Drosophila melanogaster: one gene and its partner. The protein of the gene in region 2 interacts with the protein of the main gene of each other region in a pairwise test. Each region holds a gene or a part of one and is shown on either strand. Other genes may lie near its edges.

The links.
Region 1: the proteins of CG1137 (region 2) and RanBPM interact in a two-hybrid assay, tested with the Drosophila melanogaster proteins (one large-scale study listed by BioGRID).

The regions. Positions count from the first base shown.
Region 1 is NT_033778.4:10,427,866-10,435,970, forward strand, and holds the start of RanBPM (Ran-binding protein M), read left to right. Parts: upstream 1-1,846; 5' UTR 1,847-1,918; intron 1,919-2,139; exon of another isoform or gene 2,140-2,208; intron 2,209-2,668; 5' UTR 2,669-2,720; coding exon 2,721-4,050; intron 4,051-5,173; coding exon 5,174-5,338; intron 5,339-5,406; coding exon of another isoform or gene 5,407-5,409; coding exon 5,410-5,600; intron 5,601-5,676; coding exon 5,677-5,858; intron 5,859-5,921; coding exon 5,922-6,034; intron 6,035-6,095; coding exon 6,096-6,247; intron 6,248-6,305; coding exon 6,306-6,508; intron 6,509-6,561; coding exon 6,562-6,725; intron 6,726-6,771; coding exon of another isoform or gene 6,772-6,780; coding exon 6,781-6,920; intron 6,921-7,052; coding exon 7,053-7,164; intron 7,165-7,220; coding exon 7,221-7,357; coding exon of another isoform or gene 7,358-7,858; 3' UTR 7,859-8,105. UniProt on the Drosophila melanogaster protein: May be involved in JAK/STAT signaling. Isoform D is required for the proper arrangement of niche cells and is autonomously required for proper niche cell size, isoform C negatively regulates the adhesive properties of the niche.
Region 2 is NT_033777.3:6,557,981-6,562,215, reverse strand, and holds CG1137 (uncharacterized protein), read left to right. Parts: upstream 1-1,864; 5' UTR 1,865-1,990; coding exon 1,991-2,066; intron 2,067-2,311; coding exon 2,312-2,909; intron 2,910-2,968; coding exon 2,969-3,118; intron 3,119-3,185; coding exon 3,186-3,501; 3' UTR 3,502-3,598; downstream 3,599-4,235.

The DNA of each region.
Region 1 (8,105 bases), on a different chromosome or scaffold from region 2:
GCTCAGCTGGTAGCTGTTATTAGCTCGCACACTTGTTGCTTACTGAATACTGACTGGGAGAGCTCGCTGTCTTTTATACCCGACTGGATCAATTTGATGAAAGGGGACCGATAGAGACAGAGAACGGGAGCTGGCTTATCGTATCATATATGTACATATGTATGTTTGTATGTATAGTACGTGGTGCTGCGGGTAGACTAACAAACAACTCAGTGATAATTGGGGACATTGTGAGGGGAAAGATGAGGCCTCGTACGGGGTCTCCATATTTGTGTGAACCTCAAGAGGGGCCTTAAAAAAACCTGTTTGGGGCGTCACACAAAAATGGACTCTGTGACGAACACATTTTAGATGTAACGCAAAATGAAGTACAGTTTCGCATATTTCTTTTAATTTAAACTTGTTCGAATAAATCAATCAGTCCAGAACCAATTCCTTCAGGATCTAGTATCAAAACAGCTGATTTGATGCAGTTGACGGTTTTGCCGGCTCCAAACATAAACAGAGAGCGAGAGCGCATTTAAATGTTAAATGGTGTTGGTAAACAGAGGCGAAGCACCAACACCTGCAAACATACAGCCACGCCGATAGGCGGATATTGAGAGCGAGAGAGCGGCGAGCAACGTGATGGTATTTGTGAGTGCCTGCAAAAATCGCACACTTCCATAGATCGCACGGCTCTCCCGTTCACGTACAGAAAACGAGCCTCTAATTGAAAGTGAAGAGCGAGTGAAATCGTGAGACTGTGTGCGTGGGTCTATCGAAAATTAGCACACCAGCATAGGTTTTCTCTCAGTAAGTCACACATAAAGATGGAATGGATTTGGGAAGTCGGATGGGCAGATCGCTCATTCAGAAGGCAAAAGACAGTACGCATGAAAGCAGCCCAAATAGGAATCATATGGTTAAAATTCAATATCTAGTCATAATGGATACCAAAAATGCAACAATTGATAAGTTTAATTAGAAGAGTTCCCTCCCAGTAGCTCGATCGTGTTTCATAAGTTACAAGTACAGTTTTTGTGCTAGTGTATAAAGTCTAATCAAGAATCCAGCAACATTCGTCTCTACACCAGACGTGTGGTAATTTTCCACTGTTTATTATCAGTTACGTGATAGGATTTCTATTCGGAAAGGAAGTAACTAAAATACAGAGTGAAGGTTGAGGCGAAACGAACAAGAACGATTAGAAGAGTGAGATAGAAAGTGTCAAAGCATTTGAGAGAAGCCGTAGAGCGAACCGGTAAATTCTGCAGCATCGATAGTCTGTCAATCGAATCGAATCTTTTGAATTTATGGCGGTTTTTTTTACCAGTGCAGCGATCTCTTAATTACATTCTGGGCAGAGTACTAGAAATCACTAAAGTTTTTTGCGCTGATGCATTTTTAAATCTGGTTTCAATGTAAAACGCGTATGTTTGACATTCGTCATACTTTTATACCATAGGCAGAAGTTTCTAAGTAATAATTGCCCTTAATATTCTTATCGGTATGGCGTAAAGTATGCGCTAAAAATAGATAATATGATCTTTTTTTATAATTTAAACCAATATTTAAAAGATTAAATTAGCATTAAAAAACATAACGAATTACGTAAGGTTTAATTTTACCCAAAAAATAAGATTGCTAGCAATAGTGCAATAATACCCTCCAAAAGTATTGTCAAGGGTTTTACCTAAAAACATTTTAAGATTTTAATGGCACTTTGGGAAGTGTGTTACTGCTTATCAAATTTTGAATTTAGGCGCCTAAAGAGATTTATTCGATAAGAATAATCGATAGCTGCCGAGCGCACTCTGATGTTGTCAGGTGTCGGAATAGATATCGATATCATCGAATGAACATCGGCTTTTGTTCCAGCTCTATAGCATAAAGTCAAAACTTCGTAGATTTAACAACTCATAGCAATCGTTTGAAGGTAAATATAAGGAAATATCAACTGTAGATCCGATCAACAGCATAGAATGACAGCCAAATCGAATTCATCAGCTAAATAAAACCCCAACAAAGATCATTTGCCCCAGCTAAAAAAAAATGATAATTTTCTTCTCTGCGTGTGGGAGCTGCGAGTGTGTGTGCTTGCTGCATGCATATATGCGTGTGTGCGAGAGGGAGAGAGTGCTGCCAGTGTGTGAGCTGGTGCTTGTTTGTGTGTGTGTGGACAGTGACTCGTTGGTTAGAAGGGAAAACAAAGAAAACTTCAGAAAAGTACGACGTAAAAAGGCATTTACAAATGTAGAATAATCAAAACTGACTTGCTAGCAATGTTAAAAAGTGCAGAAAGCATTGGCTAATATCGTTTGGCTATTGATTTTTTGCATTTTCGTGCATGCAATTTTGTAGCTGTAGTTGTTGCTGTTGTATTTTTTTGTGCTGCAGCTGCGCGTCGCAACTGTAAACTGCTGTTGCTGTTGTTGTTTGTATTTTGGGTCAGTTAACGAAAGAGAGTGCACGAGTGATTGAGAGAGTGCGAATGAGGTGAACGGTGTAACGGACAAAGGACATTGCATTTTGGAAGTTGTTTGTGTTTGCTAGCCTCCTTACCCCTCCCTTCGTCACTCCTCACGTATACACACACAGCATCTGCATATGCACTTCATCCGCTCTCTCTTGCTCGCTCGTTGCTGGCTCACTCTCTCTAATTCCTCGCTGAACGTCTCTCTCTCAGCCTCCTTTTGCAACCACAACAAGATAAACAACAACGACAACTCAACCATAACATGGAGAACGTCGAAGAGGCCCCGCCACTCTCTTCGGAGAGCAACAGCAATAGCAACAACAGCAGCGCCAGCAGCAGCTCTCACCAGCTCTCTCAATCGGGAGCCATGGGTGCCGAAATAGCCCCCTCTACGTCTCGGTCACACTCTCATTCGCCCACACCCTCGCCGCCCGTCCCCGCGTCCTCTCACGACCAACCCCATCCCGATCACCCTAGTCCCCCATTGAATGCATCTGAAACGGAAGCTCGCGAGAATTCACCACATGATCACTCACCCACTCCTACTTTCCACCAGACTGCACCGCCACCCACGACTTCATCGACGGCACCGCAGCGGGACGAGCGGGAGCAGCAGCAGCAGCAAGAGGCGCCACCATTGCAGCAGGATCAGCAGGAGAATTCGCCCGCGCAGGACCAGGAGCTGCACCCATTGCTGGATCAACAGAATCAAGAATATCCCGCAGTGCACCAAGATCAACAAGCGGAGCAAAACCAGGAGCTGCATCACATAGAGGGGCTTATTCGGCACCGAGAATCACAGAATCCGGAAGAGCATCCACCACAAGCATCGCTGGAAAACCGGGAGACATTAGGACGAGAAGATACCAACCAAGAACCGGATGAGCCGCAAGTTCGAGATCCCGAAATCGAACCAGAAGCCGAGCCACCGCCACCGCTGCTTCTCGAAGATCTGGACGAGCAGGACTCCGGATCGCAGGATCTTAACGAACAGCAGCCGCCACTGATTATAGACGCAAACGCTATAGCCGAGACCATAGACGCCAACGCCGTGGAGCGCATCGACGACTACGAAGACGACGACGAGGAGGTGGATGAAGAGGAGGAGGTGGTAGAGGACCGGGTCGACAGAGCCGGCGAAGTCGCTTCCGTTTCCGGTGCCCAGCGCCTGCACTCGGTGGCCGTTTTGCCGCGCTACTCCTCAGCCTCACGAGCCCCAAGGAGCAGCAACAATAACAACAACAATATCAGCAATCACAACAACAATAATAACAACAGCAACAGTAACAGCCTCTCGCGACGCACTCGTCACTTCTACAGCAACAACGGCAGTCACTTCAGCAACGACATGTTCCCCAGCCACAATCCCCGCAGCAGCACCCAGACATCATCGCCGCGGGTCGGTGGTCGCCGCCATCACTCGACCCCCGCCGCCAGCTCCAATTCGCCACAGCACCAGGGCGTGGATCCCCTAAGGCTGCTCTATCCCAATGTCAACGAGAGCGAGACTCCGCTGCCCAGGTGCTGGAGTCCCCATGACAAGTGCTTGTCCATCGGTTTGTCGCAGAACAACTTGAGGGTCACCTACAAGGGTGAGTAGGATTCGAACTTCTCTATAAATCAACTCTCCATTTCATACCATCTAAAATAGAAAGTAGGCAACGATCAGGCAACTATAAGATACAGATTTCTTAGGAGCTGTCATAGTTCAATTCTAAATCGGTTTCATATTGCCACTAATACGCACATTTCAATTTCGCAATGAAATGTAATAATTAAATATGCACTTACATAGATATAGTTACATAGATATGGAATAAATTGTAATAAGTTTGTCTACGCTGTAGCCAAGTATGAGTATCCAGGTGGTATAAGTGCCAGAGTTCATGGAGTTTATCTTTATTACAACGATTTGACTTTGTTCTTACATTTTCAAATTTGTATTGATCTAAAGCTAAAGAGACAGTATACAATATTTTAGCCCTTAAATCAAAACACCCGAATATAAGGCTAGCCCCTACTAAATTATTACTTGCATAGTTATTAATTGCATTATCGAAATTATTATTTATTCGAAATCCCATCCACAAAATCTAATATTTGTCTTGAAGGATGTAACTCAATGCAGTAGAAAGAAGAAGAGTCGTAGTGCAGCTGCAGTTTTCACTCTCTTTCGCTCTATCTCGCTCTGGCACACACACGCACAGGGCACAGACAGGTGCTCTCAGCTGTGCACTGGTGGTTTTTGTTTTTCATAACCCACTTCTCCCACGCTCATTCGCGTGGCTGTTAAACCGCTAACAGCAACAGCTGGCTTACCAGTGCGACATAACATGTAAAATGCGCGTAAAATGTATAAGTTATTACGTAGATGGTGCGTTGCATAGATGTAAAATGTATATTTAGGTTACTTTAATTTCAGGTAAAATATATAACTCAATAATTCGAAATATTTCATTTAAATTGATAAAATGTCTCATTATTGTTTCGACGTAGACTTAGGCCAAAAATCAGTTTTTTTATTTAGAGTATCAATTTTATTATTTTTATTGTCCAGATAACCAACTCATTCATTTATGTTAAGAACATATCCCATGTACTAAGTTCGAGAGTAGGAAGTTCATACCGAATGGATAAAAGAATATTGTCTTACTGCAATGCTATAGCATATAAAAATTGAGATCTGTCAAATACTGAAACCTCATGACTTTTTAGGTGTGGGCAAGCAGCACAGTGATGCCGCCTCAGTGCGCACTGCCTATCCGATCCCGTCCTCCTGCGGACTGTACTACTTCGAGGTGCGGATAATCTCCAAGGGACGCAACGGCTACATGGGCATTGGCCTAACTGCCCAGCAGTTCCGTATGAACCGCCTGCCAGGTTTGTGTTCCATTGTGCTGCTCGGCGAGATGTGCCCATGATTCCTAATAACCGCACCCCCCCTCAAGTAGGTTGGGACAAACAGTCGTACGGGTACCACGGCGACGATGGCAACTCGTTTAGCTCCTCGGGAAATGGCCAAACCTACGGCCCCACTTTTACCACCGGCGATGTGATTGGATGCTGCGTCAACTTTGTGAACAACACGTGCTTCTACACCAAGAACGGAGTGGATCTGGGCATCGCATTTAGGGATTTGCCGGTGCGTATTCAATGGAATTTTAAAACTACTTTATCTTCTAACTTTATGTTTGTTAATCTTTTTTTTTTTTGTTTAGACTAAGCTTTATCCCACTGTGGGCCTACAGACGCCTGGCGAGGAAGTGGATGCCAACTTTGGTCAGGAACCATTCAAGTTCGACAAGATCGTCGATATGATGAAGGAGATGCGCTCCAATGTGCTCCGCAAGATCGATCGATATCCACATCTGCTGGAGACCCCAGAAAACCTGATGAATCGGTGCGTTTTTGTTAAATGTGTTTAAAAATCATGGCTTAACCCAATGACTTCTAAATTGCTTAGCCTGGTTTCCACTTATTTGGTGCATAATGCGTTCAGCAAAACCGCCGAGGCCTTCAATGGCTACACAAATCAGACTTTCAACGAGGACTTGGCATCGATCAAGACACGTCAAAGTTCGTATATTTGCCATTTGAAATGACAACACACATGCCAACTTTAAATCCACTCTTCCAGAGATCATTAAGCTTATACTGACTGGCAAAATGAGCCAGGCCATCGAACATACACTACGTTCTTTCCCCGGACTCCTGGAAAATAATAAAAACCTCTGGTTCGCATTGAAGTGCCGCCAGTTCATTGAGATGATCAATGGAGCTGACATTGAGGTGGGTTTTTAAACATTACATGCGGAAGATAAGTAGAACCGGATGGTTTGTCTTACAGAACGTGAACAACAAAGTCACCGCCACCACACAGACCATGCCCACAAACCAGACGTCAGTGATACAGTCCACCAAGACGTTCAAGCACAGCAAGAGCGGCAGTGGAAATGGCAACGTCAACATAAATCAGACTCAACAACAGAACAACACTGCGATTCCAGCTGTGATAAAGCCACAAGGCGGCGATAGGCCAGATATAAAAAAGTAAGTCAAATGTAATACTTACTCCGATCTTTAATCACAACGTACTGTTCAAGCATGTTGGTTGACGACAACTCCAACAAGTGCGTGGAGCACGACAGCAACAGCATGGACGTAGAAATGGAGCCCTGCCAGAGTCACTCCAACGGCGGCGACTCGAGCTCCAATGGCAATGCCAGCGCAGTGCGCAACTCTCTAGATGCCATCGACGAGGAAATGGGTATGTATCTATTGGCGGCATTTCCGGGAAGATCCGTAATCCCTAGCACTTGCAGATGTAGATGTTTCCCCCTCATCGCGTAACTGTGGTCGTGTGATCGAGAAGATCCTTGAGTTCGGCAAGGAACTGTCCAGCATGGGCCAGCAGCTGGAGAAGGAGAACCTAATGACTGAAGAGGAGCGTCAAATGTTGGAGGTAAACTATAAAAATGTATAAACAATAGAAACTGGTATCTTGCAGACTAAGCACTCTTTGTATTTGAAAAATAACTTCAATAAGAATATGATTATCCGTAATCGAGAGATATTCAATTTATGGTTGTTACAGGATGCATTTAGTCTGATTGCCTACTCTAATCCTTGGTCCAGTCCGCTGGGCTGGTTGCTGTGTCCCTCGCGACGTGAGAGTGTTTCCACCACACTCAACTCGGCCATATTGGGTAAGTCTTTAAACACTTGTCTCGAAACGAAGTTACTAATTACTATGATTATGCAGAGTCCCTGAACTTCGAGCGTCGTCCGCCGCTGGAATACCTGGTGGCTCACGCCTCGGAGCTGATCAAGGTGATCGGACAGCACTCGCTGGGCGAGGACGCTTTCATTACCATCGACGATGTGTTCCCGCAAAATTGACCCAGTTCCCCGACGCTGCTGAAGATGTTCGAGACCACGCTGACCCTGCCGCGAACCAGTGTGCTTACGGAACCGTTGGGCAGCGCCGGAACCGGATCTGGGCCCTCCACATCAACGGCTGCCGTGGCAGTTCAGACCAGCAAACGACGCCGAAGGCGGCGTAACAAACGTCGCCGCAAATCCTCCCTGTCCAGCAATACCGATGCCCCGTCGTCGCGGACCTACGATCCCGTGATGACGGGCAGTACGCTCCGGTCGGCAGCTGTGGCATCGGTGGGCGGGGGCACGGGCACGGGACCAGTGCGTCGGGGTCGTCGCAGGAGCGGGGTCAGCTCATCTTCATCGGCGGCAGCGGCTGCAGCAGCGGCAGCGGAGGAGGAGGCGGAAGAAGCGGAAGCGGAGGCGGCTCGCCAGGAGGAGGAGGAAGCGGAAATCTTGAGCGGAAACAGCAGCCCATCGATGTTCGTCGATCCGCAGGACTTCTTCGAGACACTGGACTAAATTTAGATTATTTACAATTTGCAGTAGGTTAAATTTTGTTGTTACTTCCGTTCTCTTTCTTTTTTACCTGCGCAACCGGCTTCAGTGCGCCTATTTAAAACTAATCGCCGTTCTTTTAATTGTTCGATTATGCTAAAGATGCTATGCGTTTGGCGGCCTTTGATTTGGCGTGATTTTTAATAACTTTTAACATATATTTTATATAGCCTCTCTAAGCATAAAGTGTGTAATATTATGATGTATAATT
Region 2 (4,235 bases):
AATACTAACATGAAAAGCATAAAAAATCACTGAATATACACTTTATATGGTACACGCTCTTAACACAAATAAACTCTATGTTTAGTAACTATCATTGTGGCTTAAGTTTATTTAGAAAAAACACTTGGTATTGAAGGTATACATATTTCAAAGCATACGTATTTAATTTGCCGATTTTTTTTATAAATGAAACTTAAGTGGTATATAGATTTTAAAATGCCTACGACTAAAAAATGTTTATCCAGCCTGAGGAATATTGTGTTTGATTTTCAAGTAAACCCTATAACTTTCTAGCTTTCTGTTCTTTTCTGATCGACACATATCAAACTTTGTTTCTATAGCACTTTTAATTAGTTTTTAAGAATTCCAAAGATTATTGACTTGGATAGAGACTTGCCTATATTTCTGAACATTCGTAAACTAAATTAAAGTTTTTCCAGGAATCTGGCATCCATCTCCTCCCCAAATTGTTTCGCAACATTTTTAATTAGTTTTTATCTCGCTCCATGTGCCGTTGCTGTCATCTGATGGATCTTTAGCATAAAGTGCAAATGTAATTCAATTTCGATTTCCCCAACGTACTGCTGCAGCTGACAGTTCAATTCCCGATACTTTTCTGGTTTTTTATTTGTGTTCGGGATGCAAGTGTCTCTGAAAGTTATTTGCTGTCGCTTGGCTCTTGTTTGCTGGTTGCTCACTGGTGGCGCGCCTTTTGCAAGGCAAATGAGCGCCGTGCCAAATGCCACGCCCCGAAACGCCCACGCCCCTCTACCCACTCCAAAAAAAAAAACAAAACAAAACGGGGGAAGGCTCTCAAACAATATCTGATAAGCTGCATCAAACATTTGCATACTTCCGGCAATTTGTTTTTGTGCGAGCCAAACGAATCGAGACAAATGCAATAAGCGCAGAGCAACAACAGCAGCTATGGAAAATGCGATAGAAAAAATGATAACTGCCAAGATTTTTCAATCAACGAAGAGATTATACACTTTCTTGCTCAAATGTAACTGCTATTTGTGACCAAAAATTACAGACAAAATCCAGAAATTTTATGATTATTCGAACGTTGAAGATTTTAGTTGTGGGAATTTCGACACTGTGGGCACTTCATGATGCACTATTTCCCCTAAAAGGGTATTCAAAGCACAAACAACTCAGGATGAAACCGAATTCACTGGCGCATACTGTCCGATTCGGTTTCGGATTCATATTCAGAGGCGGAGATGCAGGATGGTCGAGTAGTGCATACAAATTACGCCCCGAAACAGTGCCACGCCCCTAAAAACTCCCTCAATAACTCCGCCTAGAACACGTCCCCGGAAAACAGCCAGCCCCTCCCCCACGAATCGGTTTATTTAGGTGCCTCGCCTGTGACTCGCAGCAAGTTGTTTGCCATGTGCTGTGAGCTGAATGCGTCTTTACCAGCCAAAAATATTGTTAGCCATAAATTTTTGGCAACACAGCGGAACAGAGGAGCGCACAAAGAGCTGCAAAAAATGTGCATCCAACATCGAGCAGGAAGCGCTGCATTTGTAGTCACAAATTCCGGGGCATTTGTTTAGAAACTTTGTCCGCAGTCCGCGACTGAAACACGCCATGTAATGTCAACTTGATTCGGGTCCAAACAAGAGCTTCCACTTGAGGAAGTTTGCAGCTCAGCGGAGCGAACCCAGTGGCAGATAGATGTGTCGAGGATCCGCTTTTGTAAATATACGAATTTGTGTACATAAATTGGGCACATCGTTCAGGGGATCAAGGCAACAGGGCTAACTTCCATCACAGTGCAGTTCGAGTTTCAGCTCAGAGCAGGAACAAATTTACACCGACACACAAAACCACTGCTGTCAAAAAAAAAAATAATAAAATAAAGCGAGAAACAAATAAAAACAAGCTCTTTACAGTAAAGGCTGCTTTCGCAGCACCTTAATCAGAAAAAAAAATAAATGAATTATTCACAAAAGACTATTTAAAAACCACGAACAGCAAGATGAGTTTGACGGAGATGATGCGGGGCAAATCGATGCCAGCGGAAAAGAAGAATGACATCAAACTGGCCCAGCATGGTGAGGTGTTTAGAAATCTTAAGCAGACTTAACTAAATCTATTGTTCTAAATTAAAATAGCAAAATAGCTATTCTTCTGTGTTTATTACAACCATTTAAAAAGTCTGCTTAATTACAATATAAAAGAAGTGCGTTCAGACAAATACCTTTTATGTGCGTTTATAAGAAAACATTGTATCTTTAAATTTGGGACACAAAACACTTGTGTCAATGTTTAATCACATAATTACACCTTCTGCGCCTAGAATTTGCAACCGTGAGAATAGTGCAAATCGGATGTGTTTTAAATGTCCTGGCCGAGGCCATCGAACGGGTTAAGATCTCGCTAATCATGCCGAAACTGCTGGAACACCCCGCGCACATGGCTAAGATTCTTAATGGAACCAAGTACGAAAAGGCAGTTCACCTGGTGGAATCGTTTGTTCGTCGAAGGGAGTTCATTCTGCGGGAGAAACGTCCGCCCCTGATGGATCACGGCATTATCCAGATCATCGATTTCTTCCAGCGGAACAGCAGGATCTACCTTCTGTTTCCCAGCTACTACAACCACATGAGCGACAACGAGAAGAAGCTGCTGAACGCCTTCGAGATGCTCTATGATCTGGCCAAGGACCGCTTGTACAGGACGTCCACCGACGCCATCGCCCAGGAGCGCCAGCTGCATGCCATGTACAAGCAGAACGAGGTGGTCAAGGAGCAGGTGGAAGAGCTGCGCAAGAAGATCCTGGATCAGAAGGCGGCCATCAGGAAGAGCTTGGCTGATAAGGAGGCCTACCTGCAAAACTACGAGGACCTCCTCATGAAGAAGAAGAGGGAGAAGAACGAGCGAATCCAAAAGGAAATGTGAGTGATGCTCGTAGAAAAAATAAATGTTCCTTTAACTTATCAGTTTGTACTCTCAGCGATCGGTGCACTCGTCTGGTAAAGGCCAATAAAAAATTAAGTTTAGAGCGACAAGCTGATTTGGAAGAACAGCTGCAAAAAACGCGAAACAACTATAACTTAACCACAAAAAACTATTTAAAACAGGAAAAGGTGTTTCGAGAGGAAAAGTAAGTGAAACTGGATTTTTAGACCGACAATATTTAGATAACATCAACAATTGGCCAAAATCCTTAGAAACAAGCTGATTTTACAACTACAAGCCATTATCAAGAAATACGATCACAGCATTGGCGAAAAGATGATCGAGAACATGGAGCTCGCCGAAGAACACAAAAAGGCTAAGAAGGCCCTCGACGAATACATGATTGGGTTCCTGAAGGTTGAGCGGGTCTACAAGCAGATCGTCGTAAAGCGAGAGGAAGAGGAGGCCAGGCACCGCCAGCATCGTGTCCTGTTATTCGCCATGAACCGCGCAGCCATCAAGATCCAGAAATACTGGAGAAAGTGGAAGAAACACATGCGCAAGAAGAACAGGCGAAATAAGAACTGAAACCATTTTGAATAGCCAAAATTTTAAGTGGATACTAATTTTTGGTACTAATTGTAGAAAATAAAATTTTAGAATTATTTTTTTTGGACTCTACATGAAAGTATGTACATTTACCATGTGTCGACAACTGAAATAGCTGCTAAAATTCTGTTAATATGAAATATTCATCCTGTCACTAACTGCTTTCGACCAAGCTGCATTAGCCTATTAGAGGAAAACTAATTTCGCTTTTAATCTGCCGGCTGGCAAGCCACAAAGACACCTCGAACTTGCCCCATCTCTTCCACTATCTGCCCGCCATGGTGTGTCATTTGCATTTAAAATGTGTGAGAGAGGTTTCTATTTTAGCTGCCCTATATTCCACCTTTTTTCGGTGTGGAAAATGCATTGAAGGGGGATTTTTATCACAATGTGCAGCCGGAATGAGGGGACATTGTGTAATGCGATGGGGCTAAGTGCAGCCAAGTCAATGCCAAAACTGCCGGGCCAATACGGCAGGGAATTTTGTGGCTCATGGTGAAAGGGGGAAAAAAAGAGCGGGACAGCTGGACAACCCAAACGCCTGGTTAGTTTCGACCATCGAAACGAATGAACGAACACCACCGTATATGCAAATTACGCGCACTGCTCATGCCCTGTCATGAATTGTCACCCATTTTCCAACTGAGATGCTTCGACACGCGCAGGGTGGGTGGTGAAACCCCTAGCGGTAACGGGAAGGGTTGGGTAAATGG